2 linked regions of the Astyanax mexicanus genome follow. The protein of the gene in region 2 purifies or fractionates together with the protein of the main gene of each other region. This does not show direct contact. Links are inferred from orthologs where the notes say so. Each region holds a gene or a part of one and is shown on either strand. Other genes may lie near its edges.

Region 1 (7,561 bases), on a different chromosome or scaffold from region 2:
TAAATCAAGATCTTTTAATTAAGAGCGATAATTGAACTGTTATAATCGCAATAATACACTCAAGGTTTGTGCTATAACATGTAATATTGGCACTGCTGTGATGCGGTCGTAGCCACAAGGCTGTAGGCTGCAGACTGCAGGGAGTGCTATTACACGTTATAGCACTCCATCTCATGTATTATTGCTTGATCATACTATATGACATCTTGTACCTGTTCTCCAGTTGCACCAGTACCCTCTTTAATGGATGTTTCTTGGCTCAGGCTGGACTCTCAGCTCAGTCGGTCTATTCCAAACTGAACACTGTAAGCAGAACACTGTCATCTGCTCCATTTCTGCCTTTAAAACAAAACTACTGTTCTATTCCTGATCCCAGACTGTACTGTATGTATGTTCATGTGACTTGTACATTTCTACCACTGACTTAAACATTTACATCTGTATGTTATATATGTGTGTATACTGCTGGGTTTATGTGCTGAGAATGAGAGACTGAAGCTGTGAAACAGCGCAGGAGTGTGGACGGGTCGGGTGCAGCCAAATATGTTCTTTCTTGGGCATTTCTTTCTTTTCTTTAGGGGCCTTATAATATTTTTAAGATTGTATTTGATGTATTTTTTCCCTGTGCCTTTAGTGGGAGCTTGTGTAGTATAATTATTTAATGAATTCAAAATGTATGCAACTATTTATGGAATGTATTATACTGTAAATGCACGCAGCTTGAGGCAGAAGGTTGTAAAGAGAAAATCTAATCTTCTCAAACATCTGATTGACGATGTCCTTGCGATACACCGCGTTTGTAATAGTTCTTAAGTCTGTGTAACATTTAAAGGTGTATTTACTCAGATCTCAGATTAATAAAATGTGCTCACCTGTGCGTGCAATTGTTTTGAGTTGGTTAAGATTTTGCAGAGAAGAGGTAGTATTACTTAATGCAGACATCTGACCCTGGCGTTTCATAAATTACACATTGCAAAGCTACTGTGATTAATTAAGATGCATTTATAATAATCGGTCTGTATGTAGCATATGCCCCACATAGACCAAAACCAAAATATGAAAGAGAAGAGAACGATACAGTGGCATTAAAAAGTTTGGGCACCCCTGTCGTTTTATTGATTTGAATACCTTAAGCACTAATTATTATAATTTAGTTTGATAAGCGTATTGACCTACATACACTCTGACTGAGTCTTGGTTCCTTTCAAGGTTTCTTCCTCTTAATGTAAGGGAGTTTTTCCTTGCCACTGTTGTCACCACAATAATTGCCATTTCTGTGGTGCTGCTCATAAGAGGCGTGGACCTGTTTTTCTCTGTAAAGCTGCTTTGTGACATTTACAACTTCTGTTGTAAAAAGCGCAACATAAATAAAATTGAATTGAGTTTAATACACAGGTGAATCCAATTATGAGAAAAGGTTAAGGAGCCAACTGCAAGTCTTTCTCCTCTTTGCATCTTCTCTGAAGAGTACCAACATGAAAGCCTCAAAACACAACTCTCAAATGACCTGAAAACAAAGATTGTTTAACAATATGATTTAGGAGAAGAAAACAGCTGTCAGTTTCCACTGTGAGGAACATAGTGAGGAAATGGAAGATCACAGGCACAGTTCAATTTAAGGCCTGAAGTGGCCGAACAAGAAAAATCTCAGATAATCAGAGGAGAAGGATGGTGAGAACAGTTATAGTCAACCCACAGATCAGCTCCAAACACCTACAACATCATCCTGCTGCAGATGGAGTCCCTTCAACAAGATAACGACCCTAAACACAGCTCAAAATCTGCTAAAACATTCATGAAGAGGAACAAGTACAAAGTTCTGGAATGATCATCTCAGTCCCCAGACCTGAATATTATTAAAAATCTGTGGTGGGATTTAAAACAGGCTGTTGATGCTCAGAAACCATCAAACCTGACTGAACTAGAGGTGTTTTATAAAGAAGAATGATCCAAAATACATTCAAGCAGAAGACAGATTCTGATGTAATTTTTTTCTGTTGGGGTGCCTAAATTTATACATTATTGCACATTTCCTATAAACATAATATCATTTCTCAAATATCAGTGTGTTCATCTGCCACATGATATATACCCCACCAACAGGGAACTGGCCTTGCACAACATCACTACTATATCTACAATATATCTGCCCAATTAACACACCCAGGCACAACCCAAGGCCTGGCTCACTGAGTAGAATCTACCATTATCTTTGTGGGGTAACATTTGAAAGCAATTTACAGCATATCATATACAACACATTTACACAGAATTAGGCAGAGAATTCTTTTAAACAATTGTGTAATTTTAATTTAAATAAAATGCTTGTTCTGATTTGTTTTCAATTATTTTAATGTGGGGCTACAGAATGTAGGTTCTTCTGCTGTTCAATAATTGGTTGTGTGTGTGTGTGTGTGTTTCGATAGATGGCATGGCAGCAGCAGGTATTTTCCTGGGTAGAGATCAGAGCACTGATTAAAGTCTGGGCCCTCAGCTACTAGCATTAGTTAAATGAGAACGCCTGTGAGCTCTGACCTCTGACAGTACCCTGGGCTGGCCCACAGAAAGAGCCTGAAAAGGACATTAACGCATGCACACAATGCTGTCACATGCCTGCTGATGAGCTAACAGTCATGTTATAATGTCATAATATACCAATATTATTGCATGTTGGTAATGTTATGCAGAAATGTCAAGAATTTTGGAGGTCAGGTTGAAGGCAGTGTTAGTGACAGTGGTATATTTCAGTAAAATCGATTCAGTTATAAACACTACTTGAAATCTTAGAACCAACCATCACACATTGCACCTTCTCTAAAAAAAGCTGCAGGTTTAGCCATGTCCGTCATTGATGTTTAAGATGATATTTTGATCCAGTAACCTAGAACAGCATTTCTTCAAACTTCTTTTTTACATGGAGGTCACCTTTGTAGGTGATAAGTGCCACCAGGGCCGTTTAAGGCATTTTGGGGGCCACAGGGAAGATGGGCTCTGTTAGGCTACTGCTATGTCATGTCATTAAAAGTGATAAACAGTGAATCTGGAGTGATCTGGAGCAGATCTGCGTTTTCCTTTTTGTTAATGTAACATAGCTCAGTGTATATCAGCCCCTTCATTGCATTTGTTACTAGCATTGATTGCCAGGCAGTTAGGTAACATACAAATGATCCATATATATAACCTAACAGCTGGTAAAATACACTATGTGTACATAAGCACACAGGCCTAATTTATCCAGTGTAAATTATCAATTACTGCTTTAATGTTTTTCCTTTTCTTTCTCTTCCTTTTTATTCTTTCATTTTTAGATTCCTGATGGAGAACTCTAATTCACGATTGTTGAAGTTTCATATTTTGCCGGCTGCAGGAAACACAAACCTGGCTGGTTGGTTACTGTCAGCAACTAGTGGGAGGGGCCTCCTTGAGGAGATTTCGATAACTGTGTCATTGTACTTTCCTGCATTGATTATCACAGAATGTATTGGGCACTCACACAGTTTGTCACTGCATTCAGTTTGTAATTAGTCGTTGTCTGGGGGTCCCAGGCCAGCTTGTGGCCCCAGGGAATTTTTTTTTCTTTGCTGTTTTCCTTTGTTGCAACAGGTCTGAGTGCCACTGCAGCCCCCAACTCCCCATTCTACATGAAAAAAGACCAATGTATAAGTATTGGACATAACTGAAAGTATATATAATTTTGTTAATATTAAAATATGTATTCTAGTATCATTATTAGATTCATTATTTTTATTCGGAGTCCAGTAAAAAGTAAGTATCCCCAGTTTTGTTGATTTTTAGTTTACTGCATAATTTGAACACACAAACTGTGCCAAAATTTCTTGATGGACAAATCAAAAGAAATACTTTGAAATTACCTTAAATAAACTATTTTTACATTGACTTCAATTGAAAGTTTAGAAGGTTTGTTCTCTCTCCTGTAAAGTTGCTGTTCTGAAGATTTTCATTGGACAGCGACCATATATAAATCAAGCATAATTATTATGTTAAAAAGGCATACAGTTTTTTTTTATTTAGTTATTTATAGGTATATGTTTGAGTAAAATATTCTATAAAAATATTCTATAAACTACATTTCTCCCAAATTCGCAATAAAATAATTGTCATTTAGAGCATTTATTTGCAGAAATTTATAAATGGCTGAAATAACAAAAAAGATGCAGAGCTTTCAGACCTCAAATAATGCAAAGGAAACAAGTTTATATTAATAAAGTTTTAGGGGTTTAAAATGCTTTTGGATAACTTTATTCCACTCCTGCAAAAAGTCAAGCATTTCAGCTTGGTTTGATGGATCATCCATCTTCCTTTTGATTATATTCTAGAGGTTTTCAACTAGGTAAAATCAAAGAAACTCGATTTTTAATGGTCTCTTTTTTTTTTTTTTTTTTACAAAGCTATAGTTAGGACTAAGACTCTGATGCTATTGGCTGGTGAGATGATAGCCTCGAATTGGATTGGTCGAATGAGAGAGAGAGAGAGAGAAGAGAGAGAGAGAGAGAGAGAGAGAGAGAGAGAGAGAGAGAGAGAGAGAGAGAGAGTCTCAGCCTCTGGGAGGTGAAAGATGGACACCCAGGTTGTGGTTCTGGTTCGCTGGTACCGGCAGCAGCGGGGCTGAGGGCGAGCTGACCCGGAGCTGAGCAGTCGGAAGGCGGCGAGGGACTGCTCTGACCCCGCGGAGGTAGGTTAAGAACCAGGGACGCGCTGAAACTACAGGGTTATGTTATTCTGTTATCTGGTTATCCGAGTACATACAGCCCAACTTTATGAATCAGTGTGTTAAAAAAGCCTTCTGTATTCCTTCTGACATAAAATTAAACACTTTTATAATTTAAAATAAATCCGCTGGATAATAATAATAACAATAATGTAATCACGTGTTCGCCACTAGACAGCGACGCTGTTTATCAATAAAACCACCCAAAACCTGCGCTGAATAAAAACACAGATTTTACCATCTAAAACATACAGAACACAGCTGTATGACTGTGCTGTCGTTTATTTGTGTTTGTAACGAGACTGAATGAGCGTTTACACTCACTTGCAGTGTTTTGGTGACTGGCCAAAGGGGTTTAACTCGCATGGCTTATCCAAGAGGCTCATGGGAAATGGAGTTTAACTGTAGAAACTTTATCGGTGTAAAGCTTTGTAGTGATTCCAAACGAGCTGTTCTGAGTTCAATTATGGCATATCAAACTGTTTTGATATGTTTGTATGTAGTGCTGGGCGATATGGCCAAAATTTATATCACAATATATTCCTTAATTTCAATCGATACGATATAATTTCAATATCTATATAAATACTTTGAAGGCCTCAGAAAAACTGCTAAGAATCCCTGCAATGGAAATCTGTACACTACTGTCTGAAATTTTAATTTAAGTCTTTAAAGCCTCCTCTCACAAAAACTGTATAATACTTTAGAAATAAAAAATGGTCAGAATAAATCAATGCACACTTTTATTTGCATGTAGCAAAATAAAAACATGACATTTCTGTCAAACACAAACCTATAACCTATAAACATATTACCAATATAAATAACTTTACAACATTACAACAGAGGCAGAGCTTCTTATTCTTTTGTAAACATATTTAACAGATCAAAACAATATATACACTGCTCAAAAAAATAAAGGGAACACTCAAATAACACAATATAACTCCAAGTAAATCAAACTTCTGTGAAATTAAACTGTCCACTTAGGAAGCAACACTGATTGACAATCAATTTCACCTGCTGTTGTGCAAATGGAATAGACAACAGGTGGAAATTATTGGCAATTAGCAAGACACACTCAATAAAGGAGTGGTTCTGCAGGTGGGGACCACAGACCACTTCTCAGAACCTATGCTGTCTGGCTGATGTTTTGGTCAGTTTTGAATGTTGGTGGTGCTTTCACACTCGTGGTAGCATGAGACGGACTCTACAACCCACACAAGTGGCTCAGGTAGTGCAGCTCATCCAGGGTGGCACATCAATGCGAGCTGTGGCAAGAAGGTTTGCTGTGTCTGTCAGCGTAGTGTCCAGAGGCTGGAGGCGCTACCAGGGGACAGGCCAGTACACCAGGAGACGTGGAGGAGGCCGTAGGAGGGCAACAACCCAGCAGCAGGACCGCTACCTCCGCCTTTGTGCAAGAAGGAACAGGAGGAGCACTGCCAGAGCCCTGCAAAATGACCTCCAGCAGGCCACAAATGTGCATGTGTCTGCACAAACGGTTAGAAACCGACTCCATGAGGATGGTATGAGGGCCCGACATCCACAGATGGGGGTTGTGCTCACAGCCCAACACCGTGCAGGACGCTTGGCATTTGCCAGAGAACACCAGGATTGGCAAATTCGCCACTGGCGCCTTGTGCTCTTCACAGATGAAAGCAGGTTCACACTGAGCACATGACAGACGTGACAGAGTCTGGAGACGCCGTGGAGAGCGGTCTGCTGCCTGCAACATCCTTCAGCATGACCGGTTTGGCAGTGGGTCAGTAATGGTGTGGGGTGGCATTTCTTTGGAGGGCCGCACAGCCCTCCATGTGCTCACCAGAGGTAGCCTGACTGCCATTAGGTACCGAGATGAGATCCTCAGACCCCTTGTGAGACCATATGCTGGTGCGGTTGGCCCTGGGTTCCTCCTAATGCAGGACAATGCTAGACCTCATGTGGCTGGAGTGTGTCAGCAGTTCCTGCAAGATGAAGGCATTGAAGCTATGGACTGGCCCGCCCGTTCCCCAGACCTGAATCCGATTGAGCACATCTGGGACATCATGTCTCGCTCCATCCACCAACATCACGTTGCACCACAGACTGTCCAGGAGTTGGCGGATGCTTTAGTCCAGGTCTGGGAGGAGATCCCTCAGGAGACCATCCGCCACCTCATCAGGAGCATGCCCAGGCGTTGTAGGGAGGTCATACAGGCACGTGTAGGCCACATACAATACTGAGCCTCATTTTGACTTGTGTTTTGTTTTAAGGACATTACATTAAAGTTGGATCAGCCTGTAGTGTGTGTTTTTTTTTTCACTTTAATTTTGTGTGTGGCTCCAAATCCAGGCCTCCATTGGTTAATAAATTTGATTTCCATTGATGATTTTTGTGTGATTTTGTTGTCAGCACATTCAACTTTGTACAGAACAAAGTATTCAATGAGAATATTTCATTCATTCAGATCTAGGATGTGTTATTTGAGTGTTCCCTTTATTTTTTTGAGCAGTGTATATATATATATATATATATATATATATATATATATATATATATATATATATATATATATATATATATATATATATATAGGGAACATGATATCCCCGTCATATAAACAAACCTATATCAACTATAAATAACTTAGATACAACATAATCTACAAAAGTGCTTCAGATATTGTGTGTAGTCAAACTGCTTAAAGTGACAGTAACAGTAACAGACCGGACCGGAGCGCAGCGGAGCTTCATTGCGGGACATTCTAGGTGGGAAGCGGAGCGCAGCCGAGATCCGCTTGGTTAAGGTCGGTTTCGCTTCATCGCGGGAGGTTTTAGACGCGAACCGGAGCAC
Region 2 (7,017 bases):
CGTCACATTAGAGTCTCCTGGTAGAACTTTCACTGGAACTTTTATTTCTATAGAATGGAAGGGAGCAAATATACATTGTTCACGACACTCAAGGTCGCCGGTGCTGCAGGTCGCTGAGGCCAGCCGGAGGCTCGTCCAGGTCGACTGGGTGTGTTGCTGTGCTTCGGTGGGAGTTGGCTCAGTGCCAGACTGGATGGGATGATCATTAGTAACAGCTGTTGGCTCCGTCTGGGCTGAACACTAGAATCGTAAGTTTTGGGACTGCAGTGTTCAGGGGCGAGAGAATGTTAATGTCGGTAAATAACGCCGTCCTGCCGTAAACAAGCCTCCACTCAGGGGTCTGGAGATGAAGAGCGTCCACACTGCCAAAGGCCTCCTCAGATGGGACATACTGTGATGAGAGACTGGAAGACTCTGAGGCAGAGTTACTGGGTTCATCTGGCCCAGCAGATATCTTCACACACATTAGGAGTTTAAGGACACTCTGTCTCCTTTTTCTCATTATTTACACCATTAACACTTAAAAATAAAGGCAATTTTCTTGTAGAGGGGATGTCAGAAAACTAAATGATTTCAATAAACATTTAAGTACTTTTTTAACATTTCCTTATGTAACAGTGTAGAAAATGCATGTTATCACAAGACTCCAAAACTTTCCGCGCCCCAACGTTCACCCATGTCACATCAAATCATGTCATGAAGCTCATTGCTGTTTTACACCACGTCTTCTGTCGCATCGTTTAAATAGAAACAGTGCTTCTGAATATATCTACACTGATGGGCGTGGTGGTCTGGAAGTTGAGTGTCTTCAGGTACGTTTGTGGTATCTTGGCAGTGGAAAACACAGGTGCACCACTGACTGAATACAACCTAGACAGATCAGACAGTCAACAGTCAGATGTTCATTGCTATGTGCTGCAGTGCGCCACGCATACACCCACATTATTACACACATGAACACCCAGAAGCACAAATGCAACTTTTACATCAACAATAAACAGAATACTAAATAAAATACAATTGCTTTTAACATTAATTAACTGCTGGAGCTCCTTTACAGTGTGAACGAGCAAGTCAGTTTCCTCTGCTGAGAAGCGTCGGACATGTCCAAGTACCTGCGCCGTTAAAATAGCAATCTGCCAAAGTCAGAGCACACCTGGCTCTTAAAAGGAATGAAAAGTGACACACTGATTGGTTTATTTTCGCTTCGAACCACACAAAGTGTACTTTTCTCGTTGTTGTGATAGCGAAGACTGACACTGACACACCCTAAATCAAGCTGCATGGTGCTCAGTTGATGGCTCACCTATAGATCCCTAAAATAGGGCCCTCAGTCTTTAAAGGTCAGAGTAAATGGCTGAATGCAGCTTGCTGTACTCTGTGGAGCACTCACACAGCTTGAGTTCTGAGTGGGAGGCAGATCAGGAATGTTGCATGACAAACGTCTCAGTTCCTCGAAGCCAGAGCTCAAAAGTGGAAAACAAGACGGCTTCTCTCCACAGGGCCACAGACTCCACACAGTGACCCGGTTCTGATCCAGACCCCCCTCAGCTGCTCCAACTGTTCCCTAATAGTTTTGATTTCTTCAGTATGAATCTACAGTGTAAAAAAGAAAACAAATAAAGAACAAAAAACACTAAGTGAGAAGATGGGTCAAAACATTATACTGGTATTGTATATGTATGTATGTAAGTATTTGTATGTAAGAATATGATTAAAAAAAGTATCCAGTATTTTATTATATCTTTTCATAGAACAACACTAAAAAAAAAGAAACTTGGAACTGGATATAGTCAGTGTACGGCTTGTATAGCAATATAGATTTACTGTCCTCTGAAAATAACTTAACACACAGAAATGTATGTCTAAATATCTGCAACACAAGAGAGTACACCTCACAGTGAACATTTTCCAAATTGTGCCCAGTTCTGTGAGTGGAGTTCACTTGAGCGCATGGATGTCAGACACCTTGCGCTCCTTTACCTTCTGCCTGAGGATGCCACACAGGTGCTCAATTAGGTTTGGCTCTGGAGACATACTTGGCCAATACATCAACTTTATCCTCGGCTTCCTCAGCAAGGCAATTATTATTTTGGAGGTGTGTTTATGTTTGGGGTCAAGTCAAGCCACGTCAATACAATACAACAAGGTCACAGATATAGAGGTACATGAGACAAGAGACACAAAGACAATATAGTGCAATAGTGATGGGGGGAGGGGATTAAGAAGGAATGACAGTACCATTGTAAACAGAACAGAACAGAACAGAATCGTGTTGGAAAACTGCCATGCAGACCAGTTCCTGGAGGAATTGAAAAGGTACTCTCGTAGCCCTGGACCATGATGCTGATCCCACCACCATGCTTGACTAAGTATTATGAGTATTAAGAAAAAAAGTATTTAGTCCATCAGTGTGAAGTCATGGCATAGAGAAAACACTGTTTATTTGTTGTATATGTGGATTGGGCAGCTGTGTGTTAATTTTGGACAATATTAGATATAGTTCCAGAAACTGGGCCTTAGCGACTTCAAAAACACGTAACAAAATAATTTACATCAGCGCTTGAATGGGAAACAATTTGTGCTGGTTCCAGTTCTGACCACTGGGTAGCACTATGTCTTCATAGATTTACAGAAGGCACACACACAGACACACACACACACACACACACACACACACACAGTTCGCAGGAACATCTGCTACTCTGCTGGGAGACTTTACACTGGTTGTTAATACATTAAAGGGGGGGGGGGGATTTGATTGCATTCAGCTCTTCACAGAAGCATCAGCGAAAAGCATATAAAATATGGTACTTCTGTTGTTAACCACTGGGTGGCACTACACACTCAGACTTACAGGCCAAAACGCACACACACACACACACACACACAGAACACACAAGTGAAGGGATAATTCTGTGTTTTGTGTTTGGCTTAAATGTTGCTGATCGAATCATAAATGGCCACAGCAAAGAAACCATACGTAATAACGACTTCAATCCAGCCAATATATTGTGATATCAATTTTGGTCATATCTTCCAGCACTAGACGAAATTAACTGCCAAATTAAGGAACTGTAAGTCCCTATATGTGCCTTCTTATCCATCTGTGAATAGGGCTCTTTGGCTATGTTTACATAGCAGGCAAAATGTCCCAAATCTGATTTTCTGACTAAATCTGATATGAAGTTTAGTCTGTTTACACAATCTTTTTTATCACTTTCATCACTAAAAATCTAAATCATAATCGAGAATCGCTCCTATATTTAAAAACATCTAGAATTTATATTGGTATAAATATATATGTGTATATATATATATATATATATATATATATATATATATATATATATACACTATATATATATATATATATATATATATATATATATATATATATATATATATATATATATATATATAGTATATATATACACCAACAAAAAACTTACAAATTACCTTAAAGAAACTATTTTTACATTGACTTCCATTTAATGCTTAAAAGGTTTTTTTCTCCCTCCTGTAAAGTTGCTGTTTTGGAAACAGCGATGATATACACTAGTGCATCTCAGAAAATTAGAATACCATTGAACAGTTACTTTATTTTCAGTTTCAGTTCAAAATGTAAAACTTGTAAATTGTGTAGATTTTTTTTTGTTGATTGTGTAGATGTATTGCGCGAAAAAACACTGCACTGACTTTAGACTTGTCATAACACAGAGGACCAATAGCAGCAGATGACATGACTCTTCAAACCATCACTGATCATCAGTAAATTGTGCATTTCATTTGGAAATCAAAGGACCAGAGTCTACTGTGAAGTTTCCACAATATGTATAAAAGAAGCACCTAGTGTAGCACCTTGGTGTGCTTCACGTAGCACGTTTAAAAAACACTAAGCTACATGTATCTGTGTATATATGTTTATCTGTGCACTCTGCGCACTACATCCCCCACAATGCCCGCGGCCCTCCCTCCTCGCCATGTTGTAGGAAATGCTGGTGCTGTGGATTAGAGTTTAATCCGAGCGCAGCGGCGGAGAGAGACGGAGAGAAAACCCGCAGCGGCTCTGACTGAGACTCACCGAGACTCTCCGAGACTCCCACCTGCGCCCAAACCCCGCGGACCCCCGGACACTCTGGCCCGCAGCGGTACTAGGGGTGGCGGTTGTGCAGTAGCTCCGGCTGGGTCGTTGTTCGGCGCGTTTCCTGCTCCGTGTGCTTCATCCTCCCTCCGCGGAGAGCGCAGCTGCAGCCCGGGGGTCTCTCCGACACAGCGCACTCACACACCGGCCACAGCACACCTCTACACCCCGCGGCCGGCCTCCCCTCTCCCCCTTACCCCTCACCCCTCCGCCCCACGGCGCTGCGATCACCACCGGCCCGGGGTTCAGCCCGCAGCCGCTCTGCTGCTCCCGGAGCCCGGCCGAGCCGGGGCTAGCTAACCCACAGCTACCCGAGCTAGCTAACTGACTGACAGCATTAGCTGGGCGGTTTAGAGCCGCACGGAGGAATTCTCTGCTTTACCCCGCAGAGAGAAGATTAATTAAAGACGGTGAATTATCCACGATGTCGGCGAAGGACCAGAACAAACAGTCCACCATCGAAAGGCCGGTGAAAGGTAACGGGAACGGCGCGAAAAAAAATCCTCCCAGTTTGTGGCGTTAGCATCATGCTAACTGTTTCAATTTCACTGACTGGAGTTAACATTAGCCTGCAGCTAACGTTAGCTAGGTTAGCTTACCCAGCTAACCTAACTAGCTTAACTCAATAACCAACGCTCACCTGATTAGCATTTCCTAACTAAATATAGCTAACGCTATTTTTACGAGTACACTCTGTTATAAAATAGATATTCATCGTATCTACCTAATTAACAATAATAACGACTGTTAAATATATGGGGTTTCTTATTTACCTCAGCTTGTCGTTGAGTTTCCTCATTTCTTAACGCTTTTCGTTAGCAAGACTTCAAGGTTAGCTATCTTAACTAGCTTAGCGTTAGTTTTTTTTCCTGTCAAGTTGTGCTAACTAAACTAGCTAATTTTACCTGTAAATAGGTCTGGAGTGAGGTTTGGAAATAAACTGGACATTTTACTAACTTAATAATATTGAATGTTATGTGTGTGGGATTTCCTATTTACCTCAGTTTGTCATTAACTTTCCTCATTTTTAACGTTCCAGGTTTATTTTTTCTGTCAGACTGTGGGAACTGACTGGTCAGTCTTAGTTATTTTAACTTAACGTTTTTAAACAACGTTTTTATCCAGTTAAACGCTTATTTAACTTGCCTCAGTTTGTCGTTGGGTTTACTTTTTTTTTGTACAAATCCCTGTCAGATTGTGACTAGTCTGTTTTAGCTAACCTGGCTAGCTGACTAAGTCACGGTCACTTGATTAACTACTTTTAGTGAATTAAGCTTTCTTATAGGGTAGATATTATCTGAACCATATTATTAACAGTGATATCGACTGTTAAATGTGTGAAGTTTCTAATTTACCTCTGTTTATCGTTGAATTTCCCCATCTTTATCGTTTTTGTTCATTTACCTCAGTTGGTCATTGAATTTAATCATAGTTTTTCCTGTCAAATTGTTTGAACTGACTGGTCAGTCTTAGCTAACTCAACTTGGTTTACTTTGTTGTAATTAAATTGCAAAAAAGGCTGAATGCTTTAATTTCTTTAATATAAAAAAACACATTGTGATTTTGAGGCACAATATCTATCACTGATATTTTCCAGGTGTATAAACATGAATTAGTATTTTTCAATTTCATAGAGCTATTCATTAATTATTAGTTAATTTTACTGTTTACTAATGTAGCCTTTCACTAAATACTTTTTACCTGTTCTCTAGCTAATTTTACCTGTAGAACGGGTTTGGAAATAAACTAGATATCTTACTAACAAAAATACAGATGAATAAATGTGTGGATTTTCTTATTTACCTCAGTTTGACCTTAACTTTCCTAATTTGTTTTTACATTTTTGCTTTAGATGTTCCTGTCAGATTGTGGTTACTGACTGGTCAGTCTTAGCCAACCTAACATACCTTACATTTTCTGCAGTTAAGCACGTTTAAATACTGGTTAAATACTGACTACCCTTTACAGGCTGTATTAACACGAATTGGTGTTTTTCACTTTAATAGAGCTATTCATTAATCAATAATTTAACTTTTCACTGATATTGCCTGACAGCTTATGGACAAAACAAATTTTCTTATAGATTAGATATTCATTAGTTCAGCTCTAGCTAACGTATTAACAATAATAAAGATTGTTAAATGTGTGAGGTCTTATTTACTACACTTTGTAATTTAGGATTCTCATTTTTAACGTTTTTGGTTACCAAGACAGCTAGCTAACAAGCGTAACTCTTTTGCTTTAGTTTTGTTTCTGTGTTTTTGTGGCTAACTGCCAGCCTTAATTAACTAGTTGGCTAACTAGCTGCTTTTTGCCTGTTAGCTAGCCAAATAAATCTACCTTTCTCTTTCACAAGTGTTTAGGGATGCTAGTGATCACATTACACTAATGTTGGGTAATAGAGACCTTGATATCTGTAGACGGTTTGCCAGATGATGATAGATTAGTGTTTAATTTTTCTGAAGTTTGACTAGTCAGAGCGTGTTTGGAAATCAGCAAAACAAGATAAGCACCACATTTAAGAGAGCTATCATAAATGATGACTGCACTGATTTGCGTAATTCATTGTTTCTCATGCAGGTCTGCTGTCGAGCACAAAGGACCCACAGTGTGCTGTGTTAAGTCACGGTGGCTGATTCACTAAATGGTAACACAAAATCCAGCCAAGGCTAGATTTGCTGGATCTCCATTGGCTGAAAAGATTGCTCAGTGCATTTCAACAAAAGGGAAATACATATTTAGTTTGATAAAATGCAGTGGCTTAAAATATTACGTCTATTATATTTTATGTGGCATTTCATGTGACTCTTTCCAAGGGCTCAGACCCTTGCTCTTTGAGCCTTGGTTTAAGATGGAGACCATTTATTTAATAG

What was found. The genes of interacting proteins can lie anywhere in the genome.
Region 1: the proteins of ppp3ccb (region 2) and rcan3 purify together in Homo sapiens (affinity purification with mass spectrometry; 3 studies listed by BioGRID and IntAct, counting the BioPlex papers as one, with this or other methods). This does not show direct contact. The link is inferred for Astyanax mexicanus from reciprocal best matches to the Homo sapiens genes PPP3CC and RCAN3.

What each region holds. Positions count from the first base shown.
Region 1 is NC_064421.1:35,120,388-35,127,948, forward strand, and holds the start of rcan3 (calcipressin-3), read left to right. Parts: upstream 1-4,553; 5' UTR 4,554-4,693; intron 4,694-7,561.
Region 2 is NC_064427.1:21,724,994-21,732,010, reverse strand, and holds the start of ppp3ccb (protein phosphatase 3, catalytic subunit, gamma isozyme, b), read left to right. Parts: upstream 1-3,997; 5' UTR 3,998-4,568; coding exon 4,569-4,620; intron 4,621-7,017. UniProt on the Homo sapiens protein: Calcium-dependent, calmodulin-stimulated protein phosphatase which plays an essential role in the transduction of intracellular Ca(2+)-mediated signals. Dephosphorylates and activates transcription factor NFATC1.